Caenorhabditis elegans: one gene and its partners. The protein of the gene in region 1 interacts with the protein of each later gene in a pairwise test. Each region holds a gene or a part of one and is shown in the gene's direction. Other genes may lie near its edges. The genes, in order: F54D5.5, mpk-1, sem-5 and lin-36.

Region 1 (4,631 bases):
AAACACTAAAATTTCCTAGATTTTTGGCAATATTTAAATAAAGTTTTGGTAAATTACCAAATTATCAAAATATTGGTATCTTTTTTGAATAGTTTCGAGTGCAACAAAGGTTAAACCAAATTAAGATATAAACCTTGTTTAAACTTCTTTGAACTGTGGTAGGCAAAAACGAAGTCTATTAAAAAGTTCAATTTTTAACAATTAATTTTTCTTGTTGAAGAGATTAATTGTGTTATTTTGTGATTTTAGAACTATAAAAGTGGTTTTAAGATCTTTAGATAACAAAAATCAATATTGCTACTTACCAATAACTAATGCTAACTTGGTACATAGATAATATCTTGCTCAACTACACACTCTAATTCTACTACGTGGTTCAGTTATACCTCCCGGCTACCGACTACTGCTCCGTTGCAATCACCACCCTTTGTTCTGGACAGTTCAAAGGATCAATGCCGAACGTTTATTTGAATTGCCTTCAGCGGCGGTTATTTTTCTGTTTGCTCGTACTTTTCTGTCAGTGTGTACTGATTTTTTTCAAAAAAAAAAAGATGCCAAAATTGGTAGTTTGACCGGTTTTTGAGTGATATACTTTGGGCAGCTTTGCAATTTTTCAAACGTTTTCTACAAAAGTTATAGTTTAGTCTCATTTCACTAACTATTTATTTTATTAATTTTCTGACAGAAAATATCTTCTAAAGTTCAAATTTCTTAAAATTTTAAACAAATTTTCAGGCTACAGTACACGCGTTCAAGGCGTGGTGGGGCCCACGAAATATTGTCTTGTCTAATTGGCCAATATTCAAAATTTAATTTAAAAACCATTTTCTTCGAATGTTTTTTCCTCAAATAAGTTCTGACGGAAAACATATTATATTTGTTCATGAATTCCAGATTCTTTAGCATCTAGTTACGTTACTGTAAAATCTCATGTGTTTGTATTCTAGAGAGGTCAACAGATTCCTCCTGCTTATTTTCAAACTCGGATTAATTTGCATTTGACATCTATCATGCTTCTCATGCTTCTCATGCCCATTATACCCTTAATGTCATATCCGTCTCCTCCCGAGGCGCGCGTTCTCCAATTCGAATTAGGCGGACCTTCTGCCATGTATAGGATGCGAAGCGGTCCGCGCGTCGCGGTTATATTTGTGGCGGCAATCATCGCGATTCAAATCGTCAACGCTGGCAGCACCAAGAAGAGGAGACACACTACGCAATTCTCCACTTCAAAGACTCGACACCGCCTCGATGCTGATCGTCGATTGCGAGGTCCGAAGGGGGCTAGGGAGAGAGCGCGCGAGACTAAGAGACGCAGACGCAAACGCTTGGAGAAGACCTCGTCTATTGGTGAAAGGAGAGGAGGAGACAGGCGGTTTGGTGACTGCTGTCTCCACACCATTTTTCTCTTCTTCCCGTCTCCTAACACACCCTCCCGATACCTTATGAGGCGTACAGTCGGGAGAGACTTGTTGAATTACGTAAGTTGAGCTCCTGATATAGTTCTGCTTGCTCTTACCGTACTAATGGAGTTCTAGTACTTGACCTCTGGTTATCCAATATCAAAATTTTACTCGTTTTTTTTTGTTTTCTTAGATTAGATTTCAATCGATAAGCTCTTTGTGCTCAGAATTTGGGAAGAAAAAGTGGAACTTTCCCAATGCATTATCTTGTCTTTTTTGACCTACTTTTCAAACCGCCAATAACTCTTTCACCAATTGATCTCCCCACATTTCCAGTCCATATTTCACTGTCCGTCAAGGTCTCCGCCACTCACTCTATAGGCCCCCATGTTCTCCCCATTGACCACCCAGTTCGGCTCGCTTTGATCTCCCACTGTGCGTTCCTCTCCTTTCCCCCTCATTTACTTAATGAACTGTTCTCTTTCTCTTTCATTTCCGTTCGTGTTTTTTTGTGTCTACGCCTTTTCATTAGAACTTTTTTAAATTCAGTTTTTTTCAGCCGCAGATACTACAAAAATGGCGGCGATCATACGAACACTATTCAAGAGCAAAAAATCGAAAAAGGGAGATGAGGAGAATAACGAGGATTTGGTTAGTTTTTCTAAACTTATTTTTTGGTTTATATTGGTGATTGATAATTAATATCTCAAAACTAGAAAGTGCATTGAAAATAGACTGTCCTTTTACGGATTGACCTACAACAAACGCGGAAATTTTCCTCCAATCAGTTGAGAAGTCGCGTCTAAATTTCCGTGATTCTTGTAGATCAAGCCAACATGGTGCACTCTGACATCACGTGAAATTTGAAATTTTCAAATTCAAATTGTTAATTTCCAGGCTCGCGAAGTCTCCAATCGCCGTTCATTCCGTGCACCGAGCACCTCATCCTCCAAATCACAAAGACGAGCTGTTGCTCGCTTCGCCGACGATGGAGCTCTTCCCGCCACTGCCGCCTATCACACAACATCAGCACCAAAACTTCGTAAAGGTCCTCAAAGCTGTCCGGGAGGTTATCGTGACGAGTCAGATGTGTCGTACGAGTCTGACAAGTATTCACAGAAGAGCAATTCACATCGGAGGCGTGACGTGCTTCATCAGTCGATGCGACAAAACTACACGATAGACGAAGGACGGAAACCGAGTAGCAGACGTCATCATAGCAGCAAAAGTGATTTCCGTCGACGTGGTGAATCTTCAGAATACGGAAGTGGTGATCCATCACCGGTTGGACAATACAGCAGTCGTCATTCACATTACGAGGACAGAATTGAAGAATCAGAAAATGATGATTTCAGTGAAAAGGCTCAGTTTGCAGTCATCGAGCGTGCTCAACAACATTACATGCAAAAGTACAAAGAGTCTGAACAAAAGCGACGGGAAGAAAAGAGAAAGTTGAAGGATATGGAGAAAGAGTGCAATGATGCCAAAAACGCCATGTTCCACTATATGAATCAGTTGGATAAAGTGAAGAAGGAGCGGGATTGCTATAGAAAAGAGCTCAGTCGGTGCAAGAAGCAGCTCGAGGCTTTCCAGAATTCCGGATATGATGTAAGTTCATATTATTATTTCAGAGAACCCTCAAATAAATATAATTTTTCAGGCATTCCACCATCTCCGTCAACCACAAATATCAAATCCTCAGCAATATCCACCTCCATTGAGCATGGGCTCCTACCCTTATATGAGCCAATCCATGAATGCTTCTCACCACATGTCATCTAACTTCATGAATAGTGCTCCACCATCAAGCAACACACCGATGACAATGACAAGTGGAGCCGGAGAGTCATTGATAAATCCGTCTGATGTCAGCTTCCTTCAAAATTCATTCCTTCAACCAACTTCTCAAGGTCTTACGGGAATGACTCCACCACCTGGAGGATTCAAGGGTGCGTCCGAAACTTTTTATTCAAACGATACTTCTTCTTCTAACATTAATTTCAATCAATAATCTAATATCTAATCATGTTCATTGCCATATAAATTCGCTTTAAATTTTCAATTATATTTGTTGCTTCACGGTGTGTGGCAAATTTTGAAATTTTGCCGAACTCGGCAAATTTGGCAATTTTGCCATGCTCGTCATACTCGGTAAATCGCAATATTTTTTGAAGCTCAAAAACTGGTTTCGCTCAATTTTTGCCCAATGCGCGTGTGGATTTCTTGAATAAAAAAAAATGAAAGAAACACAATGTTATTTTTTTTCATTAAGTTTCTGATCGAAACCATTAGTTTTCAGCAAACGGCAAATTCGGCAAATTTGCCGCACCTCTGGTGTCCCATTTCCGTATGATCTACAGTAAATACAGAACTTTTTGCCCAGAAAAAATTGGTCTCAGTACGATTTGAACAATTCAAAATCTGTTGAGAAGTCTGCGTATAAATTCTCGCAGTTCTTGTAGATAAAACCAACATGAAGCTTTAAAAGACTATATCATGATTTCAAATAATTTCAGTGCCCACAAACTACGGAGATGATGATCGAGATGAAGTGAAAGACTATCGTTCCGAACTTTTAATCGAAACTTCAAGAAGTACTAAAGAAGTCGACAGCATTTCTCCGTCAAGCTCTGCTGACAGCCAAGTGACTCTACTTGATCATTCCACAATAGATAAGGAGAATCGGAAGCCACCGTCTCGTCCATTCTCTATGATGTCGATTTAATTGCTTTATTTTCCATTTTCCAGATTGTCAGCTATTTTTTCTACTTTCTCTTTTTGTATTCAATTTTCTCAAGAGTTATGTCGGTTTTTTTTCATTTCTACCTTATAACCATCTCTTCTTTAATAAACCCGAAACAGGATCTTGTCTTTCCGCACAAATCCAAATATTATCAGTTGTGTTTGTATGTGTGTGCGGCTCTCATCACCACCACCGGTCGAAACATTTGGAGATGCTCTGGCTCCGCGCGTTCCACTCTCTGCGGCTCTTGATTCGTCTGATCTATTGCGTCGGCGCCATCAGCACTTCACGCATCTTCACCTCTCGTATTGGGAAAGAGTCCGAGAGCCATTCTCTATCCCTTCCTCTACTACTCGATTTTTCCTATTCCTGCATCACTTTATGGCACATCGATCGGCACCGTTTATCAGTAACAGTTAATTTTAATATTTTTTTGGTTCCGATTTGATAAAACTAATATTTATAATTAATAATAACATATTTTC
Region 2 (4,614 bases), on another chromosome or scaffold:
AAAAATTTTTGATTTTCTCTCAGTTTTTCGTTTATTTCATGCCTTCGCTGCCTTAATTTTGTTAAGTCTCCTCCATGTGGAATAGATTCAGAAGTCGTTGTAGTTGGCGTCTGAAATTATTTTTGGAATTTATCGATCGAAATTTGAACAATTGAGATACAATATTCTCGCTGACAGTGCTTTCTCGTGTAGTAAAGCAATAATTTCTATAAACAAAAAAATTAACATACGTTATCATAAAGTAGCTCATTAATAGTGGCTGAAACATCTCCATCATATTTCCGTAGAACATATTCAATATGTGAATTGCTTAGACTGGGAAACATAGCTTGAAAGTCCAGCATTGCCTGAATATTTTGAAAATTTGTTGCCAAATTTGATTCTAGACGTACTCTATCAAAATCCAATAGTTCTTCTTCTACCACACCAGATCGGTCTTCATAGTCATCATAATCCGTCATTATTTCGTTAGAAAAAGCTGAAAAATAGTGTTGAAAATGAAATGAGTCAGCATTATGAAGAAGAACGCTCGTACAAATATTAAACATTTTGGGTGGGCGGTCAAAAAGAATGAGACAGTGTTGTGTGTGTACAATGGTGATTGTATTATCGGTCTGCGGTGAGAGAGTTATGAAAAAATACAGGGAAAATAGGCAGAATTTGGAGTGAAATTGCTAGTAAACTCGGAGTTTTTTTTTTGAAAAACTGCAAGTTAGAGTCTCTAAAGTTCGGAAAAAAGCTTTCTCTGACATCATAAATGATTTTTGCTCTTTTTTACTTCAACATAGTGATTTGGGAAACCATACAAAAGATAAATGGCTTCAAAACAGGAACAATATTATGCATTTTCTGACGAAGCTAATTAATTGACGAGGAGAAACTCATAGACTTTTTATTCATAAAAACAACTTTCGAATAGATTTTCTGCATTTTCTGTTTTTACATAGTTGGCCAGTTTTACTTTTACTGCGGGAAAAGTTCTATACGATTTTTTTTCCTTTATTTAGTGTATCCATTGAGCTAGAAAATACGAAAATTTGCCTTATGTCCCGAATATATCTGTAAAAAAAAACAGTGTTTAATTTTTCAATGATTTATTCAATTTCGCTGAAATATAAATACAAAATCGGCGGAAGGGAATTTGAATTTTTGCACTTTCTGGCAAAATTCATGGATTTTTATAATTTCACTTTTCATACATTTTTAAACAAAAAATGAAATAATAGTTAAATAATCGAATTTTGAACTGATTTTAAAGTTTCCGAAATTTTATTTCAGGTCGTCAAGTTTTCTTCACAAAAAAATCAAAAAAAAAATCATGGAGCCGTTTCTTTTATTTTTGCAAAATTGAAAAAAATCATTAAAAATTCAGAAAAAGAAATCTATAGTTTTTTTTAACAGTTAAATTTGGTAAATTGAGGGAATTTTCAAAAAAAGTTCCTTTGCAATATCAGAAATTTCTTTTCCGACGAAATATTTCACACTCTCAAATATTTTTATCCGTTGCCAGAACTTCTTCTTCATAAAACTAATAATTCTTTAATTTCAGAACCACGAAACATGATGCCAACGTGGATACCTAACAATTTGTGCGCACAGCCGACAACGAGAAATGCTAAACCACCATCGAACGGGCATCCACAAGCGACACAACAACAATCTGCTCCGGGATCATTGGCATACCGTAATTCGAGCAACATACCGAATGGAGCAACCAACCACGTCAGACAACAGAAATGGCAGTACACTCGTTCAGGACATAGAAAGGTACGAATGATAAGAAAATATGAAAAAAAAAGTTGGAGAAAAATAAACAAAAACAAGCATTTTTAGAAGCTGAAAAATATTAAAATGCTCTTTGGTCAGTTGGAAAATTTGAAATTTTTGCATTGAATTTCTACATTGAATTTAAATTAGAAAGTAAAAATACATTAAAAAATTAAGTCATTCAATTTAATTGCAAAATTCACAAAACGTTTTCAAAAAAGTGCACAATGTTCAAATAATCAGAACATAGCACGTAATCGGGTTGATTTGCCCATTGTGCTCCCATTATCGGGAAAATAAGTTGCGTATTGCATCAAAACCACTAACTTTGTACTTTTATTAGCCTATTAAGACTACCGTGACAGAGTACTGTGTGTGTGTGCTGGAAGAAAAGATTAGTGATGTGACGTTGATTGGTAGTTTTTGAATTGGAAAAGAGAGAAACGGAAGTGTGAAAGTTTGAATAGCTCAATGAAAATGGTTGATTTGAATGAAAAAATTCAAATTTTAAACCAGAAATTGTGCTTTGTGTTTTAAGCTTGAAGGTTTGATGATTTTTGCAGATTGACACTTCATTGACGTATTTAGTTTATACCGGAACACCTCTTAGAATCGTAGTTTTTCAACGAAATTTGAATTTCTGCTAGTAGAAAAAAACTGTTCACAACTTGAACATTTCGTATGTATCCCAAAATGCGATACCCGGTCTCGAAACGACACATTTTTTGGTAAATGCAAATAAGTGTGCGCCTTTAAAGAGTACTGTAATTTTAAACTTTGCTGTGTAATTTTCATCAAAATTTTTCGATAAAATTTTTTTTAACCTCAAATTAAAAAAAAGGTTTTTTTTTAATTATGAGAAAAACTATTTAAAAAATCGAAACTGGGTACCGTATTTTTTGGCGTAAAAATCCTAAAATTTCGCTACTGGGTAATAGTTGTATTTTCGAGGTTCCACTACAAATTACCGTAATCTGAGTGTCCCCCAAATTGAATATATTTGCATTCTTCTAAAGTTTCCAGTTAAGACATCTAAAATCTAATAGAATTAATTGAATTGGTCGTCTGATTGACATTCCAGCGTGCAAGCGGAGATTGGAGAGAAAAACAATGTTTTTTTTTCAAACCGAAAATCAGAACTTTTAAACGAACAAGGAAAAATCGAAAAGGAGTGTTCAAATACAAGAATCCATCTTCCGGAAGTTTTCTTCGTGCGTTTGGCCTAGATGACCCAGATTTTTCCTTTTTTCCGGACTTGAGCTACAGTTTACTGTACTTTGACACGTATTCCTTTGGGAACCCCGAGGATTTACACTAATAATTGATGTTGATCTATCTTCTACCCGCTTTCCATCAACAAACTATTATTTTGAAATCCCGTTGTGTACCCGGGTGAATGACTGACAGAGGTGTGAGGTACTTTGTGTATTATTTATGTTTCTCAAAATGAATGTAGATTGATTCATTGTAGTTTCACAGTATCGAAATTGAATTTTTCCGGAGTTAAAGTGTTCAGTAGTAGTTTTCAGAAACTAATTAGTTTTTTATCTAATAACTTCATACATCTGTTACAATTGTTGAATACCATTTTTTGTCATGATGAATCTATAGTTTCTTCTATATAGAATGAATGCGAACTCAACAGGAAATGAAAACAAAAATTCCGACTACCAATTTTTCCTTAAATTTGAGAATCTGATATTCAATTCTGAACCAGAAATCTGAAAATCTGGAATTTTACATCTGAAAAACCATGGAAATAAGTTGAAAAAGGCATTGAACATTATAAAACTCATATGTTCAATTGGCCAAATTCTCACTCGGAACGTTTCCAATATCCCGGAAGTTTTTGCAACTGAGACAAACTGAATTTCCCGACATTATTTCTCGAATTGAATCTTCTTTCAAAATTCTTACTCATTCGACAACACATATGTTTCAATTTTCCTCGGAATTGGGTGTGTTTTGTGTCGGATTTCCTCTCATTTTCGTTCGGTTTTTATTGTTGCGTGGAGAGCTGCATGGAAGAAAAAACCAATTTGATATGAAAGAAGAGCAACACTCATCATTCTTCTCCTCGGAATCGTAAAACCGTAATTGTACGCGTTGGTTTATTTGTCGATGAAGATGATGAGTAGGAGGAGATGAAGAAATTGAAGACGTTAGAAAGAAGAGAAAAGCGTAGAATTACACGCTTCGAAATTTGAGATTTAAGATGGAAATGCGGACGACAAGAAGAGCTCGTTCAAAAGATCGATTTTCATTAAAATTTTATATGGATTTCAAAAAAATTTCGGCAGGTTCTTTTCTACTTTGCGACTTTCAGAATTGAACTTGCTAGCTCCATATTCCGCATTAAATCTCATCGTAACATAAAAACGATTAATTTTCCAAACTCTAATAATTCATTTGTGAGAGATTTTTTTTTCTCTTTTCCATTTCATCGAAAATTCCGCGTTTTCTTAATCTCTGGATTTGTGATTTGGGCGAGAATCTCAGATTTTGCAAAAGAAAAAAGTGACGCGAGATTTTATTTACTCTCAAAAAATGATAGTTCGCAACTGCAAAAAGGAAAATAGAAAAGTATACTCCTTTTTTCTATGTCGAACTAAAAAGACATGCATCCTATATCCTTTAATTCGTTATTCGAACTTCATTAACGTGTTGTGCTCATCGGTGCAGATCCAGTCATTTGAATACTTTTTTCCCTTCCTCTTCGCCTCATTTAACTCAAAAAATGGAGAAACTCGTCTTTTCTTCTTTTTTTCCTTTTTCTCTACTCCAAAAAGGGCTTCTAAGTGTATTTGCACCACAACGTCTACATTAGTTGATGCTTCTCCTTGATGT
Region 3 (4,554 bases), on another chromosome or scaffold:
TTTTACTGAGAATGTTAATCTATTCGGTAAATCGGCGCCACTTCTCAACCAACTTTAGCCATTTTCTAACTGTCATTTGCAAAAGTGGCAAAAGTTGGTTAAACAGGGTTTTTACGCTCTAAGCAACTAGAAAAAGTGTGTGAAAGTTGACGAAAGTTGGTCGAGAAGTGGGAAGTGGTGGAAATCTAATGGCAGTTAGAAAGTGGCCAAAGTAGGTTGAGAAGTGGCCACGAGTTGCCGACTACGGAACCTAGTAAATTTATTGACAAATCAGTCACATAACCTTGCTCTTGGAAGTTCACACTGTAAAACAGTGAGAATTTTCAGAAAAGTTATATGGATATATTTAAAGAACCAGTGACAAAATTTAATATTTTGGTTCTTAAAAAAGTTAATTTCAGTCATATATTAGTTTTACTATAGATACTGTTCTTACGATTTTGTATTAGTCAGGTAAATACACATTTGTCAAACTAACTAGTAGTAAATACAGTTGGTTTCCAGCTAGAAAACACTATTCCTTATTATATTTACGTACACTCACCGATTAAAATGTCAAGTATTTATGAGTAACTGTCACAGGTTCGATTATCTTTTTTATATCGGTTAAATTATAGTCTTATTTCGTAATTTTCATTAAATTTTTTAACTGCTAAATAATTTTCCAGCAACTGAAGTTCAAAAATTTGATTGAAGTTGCAATCTATTTATGTTTCCTATCTAATTTATCATCTCTAGCCCTATTTCCGAAATAGTTTTCATTTTTATTTTTGAAAAGAGAATCGGTACTGACTACCCAGCACACCCAAATGTTTTGATTTCTAGACGGTTAGTCACCTCAGGCTGGACAGGACAAGGTGGGAGTGTGTTTGTTGACATTCTTCTAATCGATGAATTGCAATACCCAATGCCTTGGAGCATTTTCAATTTGATTCTTTCTTCTTCGTTTTCTCGTGTTCTCTTATCACTTTTCATTTGTTCTTTTCCGTTTCTCCGGCCATTCATTCAAAAGTGTAAGAAAAGACGTGCATGATGACTGCTGATAGCGTATCGCACTTTTTTCTCTGAATCTCCATTTGAAACCATGTAAATTACAGAACTCATTGCGGAAAACAGTACGGTCCGGCCTGCCCAAACTCGCCGTTGTTTTTGTGTGTGTGTGGGAGAGACAGATAGAGACAGTGCGAAGATGGGAGAGAAAAAAGAGACACGAAGAACGCGTGATAGATTTGGAGTATTAGAGAAAAGTAGTGTCGTAGCATTCGGCACATTTAGTGTTGCATACAATGCGCCGGAATCGACGACACTTAGTGTTGCCCCGGTTTGTTACTCTCCGGTTTCTACTGTTTCCACTGTTTCCCCGTTTTCACGTTCAAACACTCAACTAAAACCACCTCAATCACCGAACTAGTGACCCTGCGGGTTTTTATTTTGCGTTCTGCGTTTCTCAATTTCATTTATCCTTCTTTTTTCTCGCCGGTCCTCTTACTCATCTCCTGTTACAATTTGCACTACGCTCTTCTCATTCTCATTTTCCCTCTCAGTTGTTCCTCTATGCTTTGCCGCTAGATTTTTTTATTGCTCTAATAATTTTTCATTGGCGCCGCGCGGATATGTCGATATGTAGATACAGTCTCTCAAGCAGGCCAATTTATTGACAACAATGTTTGTTCAATGTACTCTGTTATGTTTTATTTTGGTGTTAATTGTTTCTGAAGCTGCAAAGAGTATATTTCAGGTAGCGAGACGATGGAGGCGGTCGCCGAGCATGATTTCCAGGCGGGATCACCTGATGAGTTGTCTTTCAAGAGAGGAAACACGCTAAAAGTTTGTTCAACAATATCATAACCGGGCCCTGATAAAATCAATAATTGCAGGTTTTGAACAAAGATGAAGATCCACATTGGTATAAAGCTGAATTGGATGGAAATGAAGGATTCATTCCTTCTAATTATATTCGTATGACTGAATGCAATTGGTATGTTCGGGAAAAAATAGTTTGACTTTTTTGAGGATTTAATCTATAAGCTTATATTTTAAAAATCAGTCGATCTTACTTCTCGCGGTTTTTGTTTGTATACCCCGCAGCTAGGGCGCGAAGAACTGAGAACGCTTGCGTAAACAATTTTTAAAATTTCTGGATTTTTAGGTACCTTGGTAAAATAACAAGAAATGACGCAGAAGTATTGCTGAAAAAGCCAACCGTACGTGATGGTCATTTCCTTGTCCGACAGTGTGAAAGTAGTCCAGGAGAATTTTCGATCAGTGTTCGGTAAGAAGATGTTATAGATTTTCAAAAAGTTATACATTTTTTTCCAGATTCCAAGATTCTGTACAACATTTCAAAGTTTTGCGTGATCAAAATGGTAAATATTACTTGTGGGCTGTCAAATTCAACTCTTTGAATGAATTAGTTGCTTATCACAGGTGAGTCACACTTTTTCAAAAAAAAAGTAAAAAATCAATAATTTTCAGAACCGCTTCTGTTTCGCGTACTCACACAATATTGCTGTCAGATATGAATGTGGAGACTAAATTTGTACAGGCCCTGTTTGATTTCAACCCACAGGAGAGTGGAGAGCTAGCTTTCAAAAGAGGAGATGTTATCACTTGTAAGTGTTTTTGAAACACAAATTTTCATGATTTTAAAATGTTCAATTGAAAGTTTGAATCAAAAAATTCTAGGTTTAATTGAAAATGGTAAAAATGGATATATCTTGGACTGTATTTCGAAAATTTTGAAACTATTCACTTTATAGATCTTAAAACAAGAATATTTAAGAAGAACCATAAAAATAACAAAAAGGTAATACAAAGTACTAGGAAGATAATATGAGACGTCTTGCTTAAACTAACTTTCACTGGAACAAATAAATGCACGTATTGAAAATCAGTTGTTAGATTAGTTTTTGTATAAACTCAAATTGAAATGAAAAAACTCTGTGGCTATTATTTACTTTTCGGAGAAACATTGGATTTCAAGATACAATTTGCAGCATTATGAATGTTCACAACGTAAAAATAGAGTTAATCGGTTGATCATCTATTTGTCGGGGTTGAGCAACCCCGAAAAATAAAACATTTAGAAAATCTCTTATATTTTATTTTCAGTGATCAACAAAGACGATCCAAACTGGTGGGAAGGACAGCTGAACAACAGGCGTGGAATTTTCCCATCCAACTACGTATGCCCTTACAATAGCAATAAGAGCAACTCCAACGTGGCTCCTGGCTTCAACTTTGGAAATTAGGACGTTATTTTAGGATTTTTCCTGTCTCTGTTCGTTCTTTAAAAGGAGCGTTCAATGTTTCTTCTATACCATTTGTTCTTGACATAGTAGTCTAATAAGCCCTCTCTTACTTAATCTCCAATAATAATCACTAAATCTTGTCACAAACACACTTTCCAATGCTGGGTATTAATTTCACAACTTTCTCAAAACTGAGATAAGTTGTTCGTGTTTTACATGTAGACCATGAATTTTCAATGTTTTTATTCTTTGCAACTTGGAACTGCCATTGGCAATGTTTTATCGATTTTTTGTTCGGTTTCGTTGGCAATGATACAATTCTTGTTGTGTTATCAACAGCCTTTTCTTTCCCGCTTTCTTCCAACCCCACACCAATTCTATTACGGATCTATTAAGCGATTAGATACTCTGACACAATACTCAGAGACTGTTCGCATTTGTTTTTTTTTGTGTTCATGCAATTTTTGTCATAACTATTTGCCATTTCTCGTCATTGTCTCTCTTTTTCTTTTGACATTTTGCAATTCATCCAAAACCAATACGATTTTTCGTTCGGTGCTACATTGTTCGGTTTTATCACAACTCACACTGTTCTGATATAGTTTTATCACTTCATTCTATTCCTCCGGCTCAATCTCTTGTCGAGAGCATCATGAAGCTTCTCTCTGCCTCCCACTTTACTCGCCGTCTTGCTTTTATATCGAATTTGTCAAGTATTTTCCAATCCCTTTGTAAATCAATGAAGGTTAATAATTATTATATTAATCCACTTTCTATAATTTTTACAGAACATAATTTGTAGATGCAAAGTAGTTTATCTGGAAAATTTTGCATGTGGAGTTTCCTTTAATGACATTTTCACATTTTGCAAGCTAGTTTGAACAAAATACTCAGACATTTCGAATTTTAATAAAAGTCTTCTCCGATTAGTTTTAAAGTTTATACGGCTCTAAAAACGAAATTAAACCATTAGTTAAAATTCTATAACGAGTCAATGATAATAATTAAAATGAGCGTAATGGGTTGTGAAATCTTTTGTCAACGGAAAAGGTGAAGTGGTATGTTTTTCGAACTTAAAAATCAATTTTTTTTCAACCAAAAAGCGCGCCGTCTTTACTTATTTCTTGGATATACCAGATAACAATTTATTCTAAATTTTAAGTTATTTTTTTAAATTATAATTTGTGAGTCTCAAAAATGCAATAGTGCTCTCAATTTTTTTAAAGCAACGTTAATGTCTTTTGCTTTACCACACCTTTGATTAACAATTGAATTTTGAAAGAAAACGTAACAATATAAAGCC
Region 4 (6,645 bases), on another chromosome or scaffold:
AGCAGGAGCTGCATCTGGAACTGTTGAAAGCACCATTGGAGTTATCTGTGGGGCTAATGGAGCAGCTGGAGGAGTTGGTGGTGGAGCACTGATTGTGACTTCAGGTGGTCCATTTGATACAGAAATAGTTTCAACTGATTTTAGAATTGGTTTATCAAATGCATCACTCAATACAGGTGCAGCTTCAATGATAGTTGCTGGAGTTGTTGGAGATGTTGGAACTGATGATTGAGCTGTATCTTCACGAATCCAAACTATATCATCTTCATCGTCAGCCATCTAAAAATAGAAATTGTACTGAGTTTTGATGCTTCATAAAGTAGAAAAAGTATGCGAGATTGGTTTTATTCAAAAAAAACTCTTGTAGTAGTAGTGATATGGATGGCATGTTGGTTGTTTTGTTGGCAATAGAGAAATTGGCAGAACGACGGAAGAGGGTTTAGAGGCCATTTTTACACTGTTTTGAGCCCGCCTGAGTGAGCATTAAACACTGAATAGTGTGTAAGATGAAGATACGCAGAGTTGCACACGGACTTGATCAGTGAAATCGGGGGAGGAGAAGGAAGGGATCCGAGAGATTTTAGACTTGAGAAGTGAAGATAGGTTTTTGGAAAATTGACACCTGGAAATTTAAGATTCATGCATGAACATTTACGCGAGCTACAATTTATTGTAACTTGATTAAACCATGAAACAATTTTTTTACAAATGCTTCCCTAGAGAGGCCGGATATTAAAAGTACAGATGGCAGAAAACTTTCATTTGTGTGAGTACGGTAGTCTGATTGTTTGTTATTGAGTTTAAGAATTTTTCACTATTTGTTTTTTAATGTGTTTCTTGTCTTTGGGGGTTTAAGTCGACTCCCAATAAGAAGTTATACCGTAATCGCTTTTATGAAGAGATGTCTAATGACTTGTCATCTTTGAAATCTTTTGCTCGTGCTAAGTATTGTATTCAGACGAATAATACATTATAATTTTCGAAAAATGTAATCACTTCACAAGCCAGGGCAAGAATTGCGCTTCTGTATGAGCTGTCACCAGATTATGATTTTTAATTGTGTACGGAAGAAAAATTGAGAGCATCTTAAGAGGAAGATGCATCTTCTGAAATAATTTTTCTAAATAAAAATCAGAATTATTTTTCAGCATTCCACCCAGATTACGTGTCTGTTATAATCGTTTCTGGAAGACATTCTATTAGATACCGTACCCCGAAAACTAGAAATCCTATTTCTAGTTTTCGGGGTACGGTATCTAATAGAATATGAGTACCTGAGTAAACATCACTTACTATACGCATATGTTTGCTCAAGCTTCTACTATACCTGAACCTAGAGAAAACTGTCTTCCGTTCGATTTAATTTGGCAACGAAATGTTCCAAGCTTATGATGTTCCCGTTGTAATTAATTAATTCCCCTGCTTTAAATCACTTATTGTTAACGAATATGTACTTCTCAAACTCCTGGTGTTATCTCCGTGGTATTTTGGATAAATTGGTGTCAATCATTTATACAAATGACCTGTCTCCATATTGATATCATCAATTCAACGTCCCTCCAGTTCCAAGTCGCTTGTTCGGCGAGAGAGCGTAGCAAACGGAGAGACGTCATAGAAAAAGTACGCAACCGCGCGTGGCGGTGTTTGCGTACATCAGATGAGTGGGAGCCAGAATTGTACAAAAATTGGCCGGACAATTATCGATTTTTACACTTTCGACTCATTTTTCACTTATTATCAATGTTTTTCGTTATTATTTGTATCTCTTGAGCGTTTTAAACAATTAAATTCACTGTATTTTCTGTTTTTGTGCTCAAAATGTGTAGAATTTGCAAAAGAAAGGCTTTTCCAAAAATATTTGATTGCAGGAAATGTCGGAAGAATTGCTGAGTACTAGACCCAGTAAAAGGGATTATAATGATATTGAAGAACCAGAAGACTCACACGTGACGGTGCACTCAGTTGAACAGGTATGGTGATAATTGAGAAACATTCTCGCCGCTTATGAATATCAATGCATTTTTAGGATTCACAGCATTCTGGTGAAGAATCCTCAACTGTAGACGCATTGCAGGAAACTGAGGGTGATGTTGACGTAATAGGAGAAGATGAGGACGAACACGATGTACGTTTACATTTTCATTCTCGTATTAATGCATGTGCCCATTGGCCGGAATAGAATACATCATTTTATTTTCAGATTCCCGTAATGCCAACTGTCACATCAAGTGGTGAAGTTCTTGATGAAAGCCAAGTCACTCCAACTAAACAAGCTTCGTCGTCACAACCAAGAGAAGAAATTATCCACGGCAAAGGCGAAAGTGTCTACTCCAGTTTTCCGTGCCAAGTTATTCCGGAGACTTTAAGCCGAATGACACGAACTCCGCCAGATGGAGAGCATTTAGAAGTGTACCGGATGTCAAATGGGAGACTGAGAATATATGTTGTTGATCATTTCAAGAAGTTTTCTCCATACTCCAATTTGACTCATAAGCCATGTACAGTTTGTAATCGAGTAATGAAATCGGGAGAGATGCATCTAAACTTCCCAGCAGACTTGGATAGGCGCAGAATTTGGGCAAATTTGCTTGGATTCAAATACAAAGATATTCTTCGCAGTAAAATGGGTCCTGTATCGTTTTCAATTGCTGCCGGTCCAATTTGTACTGAGCACTTCGCCGAGGAGTGCTTCAGGAATCACAATTTCAACAAATCTGCCATCGAAGCTTTTGGAGTTCCTGTTGCTATTTCACCAGACGTTAAGACGACACCGAGTAAAAAAAGGTAAGAAGAAAAGCTGGTTCTGCTCGAAACGAAAAAGCTTGTGAATGAATATGTTAGCTCGATTTTTGGCTAAAACATCCTCTTTCACGATTTTATAAAAGTTCCAGAGTGCCATGGGTCTGTACCGTATGTGAGTTCCACTCGTGCAGTGTTGTCGAGCTTCAGACACATCTTCTCAATCACACGGAGGAAATGCTCAAGAAAAAAGATAATGTTTTGGATGTAAGTTCAAGCTTTTTAGTTAATACTCTTATTTTATCACATAATTCTTATAACAAAAATTAATATTTTTCACAGGTCCCAGAAGCTGGCTTCATGTGCCCATTCTGTAGAAAATGCACATATGGTTACAAGACAATATCTGGATATCGTCGTCACTTGAATGCTGGCCCCATTCATCATTGTCATCTTCGTAGAATATATGAATTCGCTAAAATGAACTGCCGCGCTACTGAGTTGGATCCAGCGGAAAGCTGGGATAACTGGACTCGTCGCAACGTTTATGTGGCATATCACGGCTGTGAACCACCAGCAAATGAAATCGTACTCACACCTTCACCAACGAAAAAAGCCTACGTGCAAAATCCAGAAGAGCGTACGAAAATGGTTCACGATGAAGAGAAGAGAAAGAAGGCAGTGAGGACATTATCGTTTGTTGGAAAAGAAGGTGGTACAAGTGTGAATGATCTGAACGTAATGCAGCGACAAGTGTTTCTGCAATTGAGAAGAGAAGCAGAGATTAATACAAAAGCAGAAGAATCGGCTCAAGGAACGAAGGAGCAAGAGAGCAGTCAGAAAAAACATGCAGAAGAAGAGTCAGACGATGTTTCTGAACTGTAAGTTTTGTCAAAAAATGTTCGAGTTAGAGAACATCCTGCGTAACGAAATTTAAAAAATCTTACTAAATGGAAATCAAAGAAGCAATTAAATTTTTTAGAACTTCCCATCAGTCTCCACAAGCTCCAATGGGATCTGGTGAACGACGTAAAGCAACACGTCTCGCAACTTCCGCTACAAATTCACCAATCAAGAAGGTGGCAAAACACGAAGTTCCTGCTACAGCTCCATCAACTCCAGCTAAGAAACGGAAAATTTCACACGAAGAAGAACACGATCCAACTCCTGAAAGTGTAGAGAGAGAACCAACAGTTTCACCAAATGATCCACGTGAACGTCTTCGTTTGAAGGAACGAGATGAACAATTTGCCAAAATGGTTCAGAAAAGATCTCAGCAAGTTAAGCGATTGATCAATGCCAAACAATTCAAGAAACAAGAAGCAGCAACGAAGAAGCCGAGAAAGGCCTTGGCTTATAATTTGGCCAAAGGGATCGCTGCTACTTCTTCGGTGAGTTTTATTTACTGAATTTATTAAATAATAGATTAGAACTTAATTTGTAACTTTTGAAATTCCTCTTTTACTTTGTAGCATGTTGAAATTCGAATTACTAGGATAATGTTTTTTATTCAGACGGAGCCAGAAGACAAAGTGACATCTTCGGAGCAGACACCAGAACCGACAACAAGTCAAAAATTTATCGCCAGAAATACACGATCGAAAACTAAGGAGAGTGCTGTTCAAAAAGTTGAAAAACCAGCAACTCCTGTCGCAAAACCGGCACCAGTAGAAAAAGAGCCGGAAGAACGCCCTCTAAAATCAATGCTCGCGAGATCTTTTGTTGCTGGAGTTCGTCCTTCGATGGCTAAATATCAGATTCCATTAGAATCGTTCACAGCTACTGCATCACTTGGTGGAGGACGTTCATTATCTTCTGGAGTCATATCAAGACCACCAACTTCATCCTCTCCTGGCGGGATCTTTTCTCAAAGAGTTATGGGAGCTGTTGCACAAGAAAAAGGGCCTGCTAAGAGACCGGTAAGTTTAATATATTAGAATTATTTATTAGGAGACTTTGATATTTTTTCTAATTTATTGCTTCAGAGTGTGCTCTCCCGAAGACCACTGATCCTTTCACCACGAAAAAAAACATCAACTCCACGACCAACACTCTCCCATCACGAGTCATCGCCAAACTTCTCAGCATCTTCTCCGGTGGTTGTTTCTGATGAGTATCTGATTCCAGCAACGGATATGGAAGTTGAAATGGTCGAAGAAGTCATTGATTCTATGGGAAACTCATCGTCTGAAGATGTTGCCACTTCTTCAACATCTTCCGAGAGGCAACCGATGCTTACGCTGGCAGAGGCTCTTGAGATGGATGGTTCAAGTGGAACAGTTAAAGATCAAGATATGGAAGAAATCTCAAAAGAAATGATGAAAGATGCTCATTACTACAGAGCAATGGAAGACGCTATCAAATGTCGCACCGTGACGAAAATGCGCGCTGACATGAGACTTTCCCGTCATTGCATCCGGCAAATTGAAGCTGCGAGAGCCAGGTGAGCCCATGGGAGGTCTACTTTGATAAATCGTTTAATTTTTTGCAGAGCTCGTCTGTTTGGCGAAAGGACTGAAGATTATCAAATTTTCTACTCTAACGATGGAGCACAAGTGGTATGTTTTTATTAGTTTCAATTCTGAATTTTAGTAACAATTTTCGTTTTTTAAAAGATTTTATTTATGTTGTTCTCAATTTGAAACCATTTGCTTTGAAAAAATTCCGATTGAAACATCAAAAATCACTGATCACAACACAATTTATTTTAAAAACATGTTTTCTCCGCTATTTGGCGTTATCAATCAGTTTGTTTCATTCTTATGATTTTCAGCTCACCAAAAAAGATCCAAAATGGCGTGAACTTCAACAACAACAACAACAACAACAACAGCAGCAAGAACAATTTCCAGGACAAGGATCATCGGATTCTCAACAATAATTATTTTTAATTATCAAAGAAAGTGCCTCAAAATTCAAGATTCAAAAGTCAATTGTCCTTTCGAGGATCGCCCCACATTTCTTTCATGTGAACTATCTCTGTTTTATATCCACAGAAGTTATCCCATTTTACTTTCATTCGAAATTCTTGAAATCTGATAAAAACTCCGACTAGGATAGATTTTCGTCTAGATTTTTAGGATTTTCACATTTACTTTTTTCCCATTTTTTACCCCCCCTCCCCCCTATAATTTACTTTCCAAAATTAATAGTTTGTTTTACTTTCCATAAGCCCCCGCCCCCTCCCCAAAAACCACACTTTTTCTATCATAAATTAATCTGAATTATTCACAAAAAATGAGCCAAAGTCTATTTAAACGTTTCCCTAGTTTTCAATTACATTCAAGTTTGAAAGATATGTGCGTTTGTGTGCCAAATATGACTAAAAGTCAATAAATAAATGATTTTGCTTGGTAGGTTTTTGAAAAGAGTTTTCAGATTATTTTTTCTATAGGCTACCTGATTATCCATAACATTATATTTTGAAAAAACCATGAAAAATTTAAAAAAATCCTAAAATTTAGAATGGCATCACCAGAAGCATCGTCTTCTGGAAATACAGAAGATCTTCGTATCGAAGATTTATTCCATCAAAAACGAAATGAAGATACGATTGCTAAAATATTTTCGATTATTTATGCTCCAGTTGGTGAGATTTTTTTCAAATTTTTTGACACATTCCAAAAAGTAAAAGTTTTAAAAAATCAAAATTTCAGGTTTAATTATTCTTTTAATTCGTGTTTTCCTCGGTTTCCACACATTTATTGTTGCATGTCTACTCAGAAAATCTGCTGCTTTGAGAATGCACACTCTTCGAATTATGTGCTCAATTCTCGGAATTGTCGTTGAAAAATCTGGTCACAGGTTTGTGATTTTTTTTTTGAAAAATATTTGATATCTCCAAAAAAATAGAAACAAGTTACTGAAAAATTGGAAGCTTGCCGTATTGCCCAGGCGCAAATTTTT

The links.
Region 2: the proteins of F54D5.5 (region 1) and mpk-1 interact in a two-hybrid assay, tested with the Caenorhabditis elegans proteins (3 studies listed by BioGRID).
Region 3: the proteins of F54D5.5 (region 1) and sem-5 interact in a two-hybrid assay, tested with the Caenorhabditis elegans proteins (3 studies listed by BioGRID).
Region 4: the proteins of F54D5.5 (region 1) and lin-36 interact in a two-hybrid assay, tested with the Caenorhabditis elegans proteins (3 studies listed by BioGRID).

Annotation. Positions count from the first base shown.
Region 1 is NC_003280.10:11,564,050-11,568,680, reverse strand, and holds F54D5.5 (uncharacterized protein), read left to right. Parts: upstream 1-1,660; coding exon 1,661-1,838; intron 1,839-1,962; coding exon 1,963-2,054; intron 2,055-2,300; coding exon 2,301-3,011; intron 3,012-3,063; coding exon 3,064-3,352; intron 3,353-3,919; coding exon 3,920-4,128; downstream 4,129-4,631. Other genes in the region: F54D5.15 (ZM domain-containing protein), read left to right, coding at 4,528-4,561.
Region 2 is NC_003281.10:4,225,044-4,229,657, reverse strand, and holds the start of mpk-1 (Mitogen-activated protein kinase mpk-1), read left to right. Parts: upstream 1-1,563; coding exon 1,564-1,767; intron 1,768-4,614. Other genes in the region: F43C1.5 (uncharacterized protein), read right to left, coding at 1-110, 231-347, 393-461. UniProt on the Caenorhabditis elegans protein: Functions in let-60 Ras signaling pathway; acts downstream of lin-45 raf kinase, but before the lin-1 gene product in controlling vulval cell differentiation. Plays a negative role in proximal germline proliferation in the mitotic zone.
Region 3 is NC_003284.9:7,958,908-7,963,461, reverse strand, and holds sem-5 (Sex muscle abnormal protein 5), read left to right. Parts: upstream 1-1,738; 5' UTR 1,739-1,749; coding exon 1,750-1,827; intron 1,828-1,877; coding exon 1,878-1,978; intron 1,979-2,149; coding exon 2,150-2,272; intron 2,273-2,319; coding exon 2,320-2,427; intron 2,428-2,475; coding exon 2,476-2,612; intron 2,613-3,111; coding exon 3,112-3,251; 3' UTR 3,252-4,009; downstream 4,010-4,554.
Region 4 is NC_003281.10:8,016,097-8,022,741, reverse strand, and holds lin-36 (Protein lin-36), read left to right. Parts: upstream 1-1,868; 5' UTR 1,869-1,871; coding exon 1,872-1,970; intron 1,971-2,026; coding exon 2,027-2,125; intron 2,126-2,200; coding exon 2,201-2,784; intron 2,785-2,885; coding exon 2,886-3,006; intron 3,007-3,081; coding exon 3,082-3,620; intron 3,621-3,721; coding exon 3,722-4,130; intron 4,131-4,253; coding exon 4,254-4,658; intron 4,659-4,724; coding exon 4,725-5,182; intron 5,183-5,230; coding exon 5,231-5,297; intron 5,298-5,512; coding exon 5,513-5,620; 3' UTR 5,621-6,094; downstream 6,095-6,645. Other genes in the region: F44B9.2 (uncharacterized protein), read right to left, coding at 1-279; F44B9.5 (Lipid droplet-regulating VLDL assembly factor AUP1 homolog), read left to right, coding at 6,205-6,328, 6,396-6,543. UniProt on the Caenorhabditis elegans protein: Required to negatively regulate vulval development. Antagonizes Ras-mediated vulval induction. Acts cell autonomously.